Canis lupus familiaris: one gene and its partner. The protein of the gene in region 2 interacts with the protein of the main gene of each other region in a pairwise test. Links are inferred from orthologs where the notes say so. Each region holds a gene or a part of one and is shown on either strand. Other genes may lie near its edges.

Region 1 (3,400 bases), on a different chromosome or scaffold from region 2:
TGTTCCTTAAGTTACTAGGACTTTAGTCCCTTCTCCAACTGGTGAACTCTAACTTATCTTTCAAGGCTCTGATCAAAAATCTGTTGAGAGGGCAGCCCGGGTGGCTCAGCGGTTTAACGCCGCCTTCAGCCCAGGGTGTGATCCTGGAGACCCAGGATCGAGTCCCACATCAGGCTCCCGGCATGGAGCCTGCTTCTCCCTCTGCCTGTGTCTCTGCCTCTCTCTTTCTCTGTGTCTCATGAATAAATAAACAAAGCCTTAAAAAAAAAAAAAAAAAAAAAAAAAAAACCCTGTTGGGAGGCTTCTCCTTCTCCCTCAGTCCTATCACAGGATTCCTGGCCTAGATGCCACATACATACATACCACCCCTTCATCACCTGGGTGCCCAGCATCCGGTTAGTAGACAAGCGCCCTCTTTTACCGTTAATATGAATTCTGCTTACTCCTCTTAGAACGTCTCTCCCTGTCCTAAACATTTTTGTTCTCTTTTCCTCACTCTTCTAAAGAAGATGGTGATGCTACGGAGAGACGCTGAAAGGGTGGCTCGGAAGCAGCGTGGGCACAGAGCGTTCAGACAACTTGCCTAGGGGCGGACAGCTGGAAGGGAGCTTGGATGTGGACCCACACCTGCCGGGCCCAAGGCCTGTGCCCTTAGGGCTGCGACACGGCCCCACAAATCCCCAAGTAAAGACACACAGTGTCAAAGCGCGGGGGAGTTCCGCGGCTGGCGCTTCCAAGGGACCAGATCAGGGGCACGGGAACGTTAACGGACCCGCCCCGGGCCACGGGCGCCCTCCGCGCAGGAGTGACAACGAGGACGACGGGCCCACGGTGCTTCCTGCGGCTCCAGGCTCTCGGCGGAACGTGTGCCCGGGGCGGGCCGCGGCAGCCGGCCAACCCGGGTCCTGACCGCCGCTCCAACCGCCCCGCAGGCTCACATTTTCAGGGTGCCCTTGGGCCCCAAGTTGGTGCGCAGGACATCCTGCAGCCCTCGGGCGGCGCAGATATTGACGGCCAAGGCCGCCTGGGCCCGCGCCACCTCAGCCTTGGAGTTGATCGCCTGGACCGCAGCCATCGCACCACCCGGCGCGCCACCCGCCAGGTAGCGGCAGCCTCAGCCCGGATCCCGAGCGGAAGCCCGTGCCGGAGCCTCAGCCAATCCTCGCCGGGAGCGGAAGTGACGTCGCCAGGCCTCGCCCGCACGGAAGCCGCAATCGCTTCGGGTCGGGGCGCCAAGATGGCGTCCTCCGCCTCCGCTCGCGCTCCCGCGGGGAAGCGAGTTGTGAATCAGGACGAACTGCGGCGGTTGATGAAGGAGAAGCAGCGTCTCAGCACCAACCGGAAACGGATAGAATCTCCATTTGCGAAGTACAACCGTTTGGGGCAGCTGAGTTGCGCCCTGTGTAATACGCCGGTGAAGAGCGAGCTCCTGTGGCAGACCCACGTTCTGGGAAAGCAGCACCGGGAGAAAGTGGCCGAGCTGAAAGGCGCGAGGGAAGCCACCCAGGGACCGTCCTCCAGCGCAGCGCCTCAGTCAGCCAAGAGGAAGGTGCCGGACGCCGATGGCCAAGATGCCAAAAGACTCAAGGCCTCCCCGCTGCCTCAGGTGCAACCCTCCACATCCGCTTTGCCCACCAACTTTGACAAAGCAGGGAAGGAATCCACCAGAGCGACCCTCAGTAAGGCTTCGGGACTCGGTTTACTCCCTGATTATGAGGATGAGGAGGAGGAGGAGGAGGAGGAAGAGGAAGAGGGAGGAGGAGGGAAAGGAGGGGACTCGAGCAAGCCGCCGCCCGACGCACAGGGCAAGGACCACTCGCTTTCCTCCCCGAGGGAGGCAACAAGTAGTATGCTGCCAAGCGGTTTCTCGGATACAAATCCCCCCAAGGCCCCCTTAATTCCCCATTCAGGGTCAATTGAAAAAGCAGAAATACACGAAAAAGTAGTGGAAAGGAGAGAAAACACAGCGGAAGCATTACCAGAAGGCTTTTTTGACGACCCTGAGATAGATGCAAGGGTACGAAAGGTTGACGCCCCAAAGGATCAAATGGACAAAGAGTGGGACGAATTTCAGAAGGCCATGAGACAAGTCAATACCATTTCCGAAGCCATAGTTGCTGAAGAGGATGAGGAGGGACGGTTGGACCGGCAAATTGGGGAGATCGATGAGCAGATAGAATGTTACCGTCGGGTGGAAAAGCTTCGGAATCGCCAGGATGAAATAAAAAATAAGCTTAAGGAGGTTCTGACTATAAAGGAACTGCAGAAAAAGGAAGAGGAGAATATTGACAGCGATGATGAGGGAGAACTACAAGATCTGCTGTCACAGGACTGGAGGGTAAAAGGGGCTTTGTTATAGGGTTTCAAGACCCAAGATTTTTACACCCTCTACAATGGTACGAAAAGTGCTGTTTCTGGGTATGATTACTGGTTCCTTCGTGCGTGGAGATTTGGTGACCTAACTGGGTTGTTGACATACAATGAGCCTGTGAAGATAGCACTTTTGAAAATTGGTGTAAAATATTTTTGAGGTGAGGTTGTTTTTGCAATTTTTGAGCTATTGTATACTAAAATGTCAACTTTTTTCACACGTTAAGTGAATAATTTTGCGTTGTCAAATCTGTAAGCTGTAAATATTGTACCTCGTTAAATATATATTTACTTAAGTAATTCTGTTTTGAAATTTATAAATAAATAGAAGCCAGGCTAACAGACAAGCTTTTAGATAAAAACCAAGTGTGGCATTTGGGATATATGTGTTTTTTCTTTTCTGATCCCCTAAATCAACTCAACTTCCTGCAGCAGGAGGGTTTTGTAGAAAGGTGGGGAAGAGGGTTTGTTTTTTGCTTTTAAGAATACTATTTATAAACACTATAAGTCATTCAGGGCAAATCAGTTCTCTGAGTATTGTTTCTGTTTCAAAAACATGCACTACGAGAACATGGGAAAATATATGACCAAACCTCCTTAACCCAATTGTTTCTCTTGATTAAACCAATGATTCTTGGATGTGATGTAGGTGCACATGAAGATCACCTGCCAAGCTATTGAAAAGGTGCCTATGAAGTACCTTGGAGCTTTTAAAAAATTCGTGTGCCCAGAACCTACCATTAAATATTCAGTAACTCTGTGGAGTGGGGCCCAGGTATCTGTATTAGTTCTGAAAGCATCCCAGGTTGTTCTAGTATATGCCAAAGTAGAAGGGTCATGTTTAGGTCGCCCTAAATCCAGAACCCATCTATATGTTTTCACGCTTTGTTTTTTTAAATACCGCTTTCCATAAGTTTATCATCTACTGTATAAAAGAAATACCACCTTTTAGGTTTCATCCAGTCTTAAATTTATTACATTTCATAGTTAAATAAGGGTTCAGAGTTGCTGTCCATTGTAGGGAGGATAA
Region 2 (4,065 bases):
CTTATCTTCCCGTATTATTCATCATTTGATTGCTTATCACCCTTCCTGTCCACCTAAGCGGAACGAGATGAACCTCCTGCCTTTGCTTCTATAGCTAACTACCTATCACGGTAAGTACACTCATAGGGCCTCCCAAGCAGTGAAGACACTGGCCCCGAGGAAGTCTCTCCAAAACAGTAACAGTTCACTTATGTCACACCTTCTCAAACTATCAATCACTCTCCAAACTATCCTATGGTTTCCTCATTTCCTCATTCCACACACTAACAAGATATCTTTTACTTACCTCATACCATTAAGAGAACTGAATCTGATCTGTTTTCATGGATTTAGGATCTTCTAATCAAATATGTAAATCCTATTTTCTGATCCAAATTGCTTATTTTAAATATCTGATCTAGCTTCTCCATGGGGTCTAACCTATGACCTCTCACACACTACTACCTCCAGGATTATACTGCCCTCCCCCACACTCTTCGGGCTCATGTAAAACAGAAACTCTCTCCATTTCCCATTTACTATAGCTAAGAGAGCATAGACCGTTCAAAATAAATTTTATTGAAAGACAAAAAGGACACCAAATACAGTAGCATTAAAAAAAAAAAAAAAAAAAAAAAACTGAATTGTCAAACTTACATGCAAGCCCAGAACCTGCTCAGGTACTCCAGACTCACATATTCTACTGCCTTCTCAATATTTTCAACTGAATGTCTACTGGGCATCTCACATGTAACAAGGCCCGAACAGAACTCTTGATACTCCCCACTAAACCCTCTCCTTTCCTTTCTCAATGTCCAAACCATTCACCTAGCTGTTCAAGATATGCCCTATTTGTCTTTTCCTCCAAACTTCCACAATCAATCAGCAAGTCCTGCTGCCTGTAGCTTCAAAATCTATCAGTCTACTCTAAGAGTAGAGGCCACCATCATCTCATACCTGGAGTCACTGGTAACCCTACTACTGCTCTCGCACTCCCACCCAGTTTCCATAGATTAGTCAGAGGATTCCTTCTAGAATATCATTCCCTGGATCGCAATTAAAATCTACTGATTGAGAATGAAATCCAAACTTATCTCTGCCTCTAAAATTGTAAGACCTCATTGTACATACTCATCTCCTACCATTCTCCCTCTTCTTTTGTCTCTAATCCTGGCCTTTGTATTCATACCATAAAGCATTTGCACTTGCTCTTCCCTGGATTGTTTCCCTACTTTCCCCAAAACTGCCTGCTTTTTTGCATTCAGGTCTTCGATCAAATGTCACGTCAGAGAGGACTTTCCTGACTGCCTTTCACACACCCCATCTCATTTTTCTGATAGCACTGATCCCTGTTTGAAACTGTTAACTTGTCGGAGTCATCTCTAAAATGTAAGCTCTTTAGGTGAAGGAAACTGATAAACAGCTTTAACCACAAAAACACCGGTATGTAAGAAAAGGGAGTTGTCAGGAAAGCTTCTTCAAAGTGATGTCATAGATGGGTGACAATGAATTAACCGTATAAAGGAAAGTGGGGGGAAATGAGGATTCTGAACAACGATGAAAGACCAAGGGGTGAAAGACCGCACGGCAGATTTATATAAATGTGTTCGGTACGGCTAAAGGAGAGTTAGAGGGAGGGAGGAAACTGGATACGAGCACAGGCCAGGTCACATAATACTTCAAAGGATCCTGGTCATTATCCCAAGACAAATTAGAACTCTTCATAAAGATGTTAAGGTAACTGATACGGTCAGAATTGCATCTGTGTGAAGTCACTGGCAGCAATATGAAGAACGGGGAGGAGAAGAGCAAGAGGAAAGACCACCAGACAGGTCAGGATGCCTAGGTCCAGGCGGTCAACACGGGTAGCACGCGTAGTATACACAGAAGCAGATACGTTTAAAAGACGTTCAGAGGCAAACACGGAGTGGTTGAGGAAGGGAAGGGAGGGCTCTAAACGGCCCTGAGGCTTCTGCCTGGGCAAATGGGAGGCAGAGGCCAGAGAGGAAAGAAGATGGGGTAACAGCTTCTGCGGGGAGCAGCCGCACTCGGCCGACACCCGCCCGCTGTGGGGGCCAAGGGCTGGGCTTCCCTGTTCCCGGCCGCCCGCGCCGCCCCGCGCAACGCCGTCACCGGGTGTGGGCCAAGGCCCTCGGGCACCACGGCTGCGGGCTTCACGGATGCGCCCGCCCGGAGCGGGGCCTTGCCAGACTCCCGTCGCCCCCCTCAGAGGCCTGGGCTGCTCCACGGCCAAGGCAAGCTCTCGTCCCCGGTCTGGCAGGCCCCGTCCCCGCTACGAAGCCTTGCCAGTCTCAGGCTGGGGTCCGTTTCTTTCTGCGAACCCGCCGCTTCCGCGACAGAGTCCGACACACAAGAGCTCGCTTAGGAGCCTTCTTTGCGTGCGTCTCTCCTCCGCGGAACCCGCGCCCTTTAGGGCAGGGCGGCCTCTTTCACGCGTCTCCGCGGCGCCCCCTGCAGCCGCCGACACGGAGCAGATGCTCCGTCAAGGCCCGTGAGCCGACGGACGGACGGACGGACGGACGCACGAACGCCTCCCGGGAGCGCCCACCCCAGGGAGAGCCTCGCCCCCAGGCCTCGGGGGTCTCGGCGGCCCTTTCACACACGCCACACTCGCCCGCGCGCACCTGGGTCACGAACTCCGCGTTGATCTGGGACACCGTCGGGGCCACGATTTTCTTGGGCTGAGCAGGGGCCGCCATGGTGGGGAGGAAAGGCCCGCCCGGGGCGGCGGTGAGCCCAATTCCGCGCAGCAGGAGCCCGCCGGCCCGGCCCGCCCTGCGCCTCGGTCTCCGCAGGCTCGGAGGGGCGCGCACAGCAGCCCGCGCGTCTCCCGGAAGCGGAGCGGAGCAGGACCGGAAGTTTGCGCGGGCGCTGGGGCTGAGCGACGGACCGCGGGGGCTGCCGCCGCCTGCGCGCGCGCCCCCTAGCGGGCAGCTCGGAGAACGCACCCGGCCGTCGGGACCGGGTCTCAAGGACGCGGCCGGCAGGTGCTGTCGGGGGCGGGGCGGGGCGGGGCGGGGCGGGGACACTTGGCGGTTCTCTCGAACCTAAAAAAAAGCAGTGTTGATAAAAACATACGCTGTGAGTATGCGGGGCTCGGCTTTAACTGTTTTTTAACAGACTCATGGAGGTATAAGTTGACATACGATGAACTGCATGCACGTATTTTGGAGTGTAAAATTTGATACGTTTTCAGTCATACATCTGTGAAACCATCACCAAAATCCGGATAAGCATAGTCAACGCCCTTAAAATTTTCCCCATGCTATTTGCAATCCATCCCTATTGCCATACTAGGGAAAAAAGGGCTACCAGGTAAAAAGCGGGTGACAGATTAGTTGAGTGAAGAGGCAATGGAGAAAGTAGGTGTAAAATGCATTTTCAACATAAAAGACAAAAAAAAAAAAAAAAAAAAAACAGTAACCCGAATAACCGGTAAAGCTCAAGTTGTTTGTCCCAACTGCTATCTCTTTTTATGCTAGGTGCAGTGGAAATGTTTTATTGCCTATCCTCTCTTCTTTCCAAACACAGCTTCAAACTTGGCCTGTATCCCTATCCCTATTTAAAACATAGAACATAAAAGGATGCATTCCTTCGCTTTCCAGAAGCATGTAGTTTTGCTTATTGTTTCTCAAAGTGCAATTTCAATACAGCACTAACAGTTAACCTGCATAAATGCAAATTCTTGGGCCCACCACCAGACATGAGAGAAACTGAGATGTGGCTTAGCTGTGTATGCTTTGAACAAACCCTTTACAGGATTCCAGTGCACGCTAAAGTTTGAAAACCACTGATCAACAGTGACAATCGAGTTATGCAGAAAAAACAGTGAGAGCACAGGGGATGGAGTGTTTGGGTAAATCAGGAAGGCTTGCAGAGTAAACAGTATTTAAGTTCAAACTTGGGGCACCTGGGTGGCTCGGTGGTTGAGCATCTGTCTGCTTTTGGCTCGGGTGTGGGGATCAAGCCCTACATCAGGCTTCTCACCGGGAGCCTGCTTCTCCCTCTGCCTCTCTCTCTGCCTCATGCGTAAATAGATAAAATCGTTAAAAAAAAAAAAAAAAG

The links.
Region 1: the proteins of AQR (region 2) and ZNF830 interact in a two-hybrid assay, tested with the Homo sapiens proteins (2 studies listed by BioGRID and IntAct, with this or other methods). The link is inferred for Canis lupus familiaris from reciprocal best matches to the Homo sapiens genes AQR and ZNF830.

The regions. Positions count from the first base shown.
Region 1 is NC_049230.1:38,350,117-38,353,516, reverse strand, and holds ZNF830 (zinc finger protein 830), read left to right. Parts: upstream 1-1,190; 5' UTR 1,191-1,237; coding exon 1,238-2,359; 3' UTR 2,360-2,887; downstream 2,888-3,400. Other genes in the region: CCT6B (T-complex protein 1 subunit zeta-2), read right to left, coding at 939-1,075.
Region 2 is NC_049251.1:2,945,512-2,949,576, forward strand, and holds the start of AQR (RNA helicase aquarius), read right to left. Parts: upstream 2,831-4,065; 5' UTR 2,700-2,830; coding exon 2,625-2,699; intron 1,812-2,624; exon of another isoform or gene 1,461-1,811; intron 1-1,460.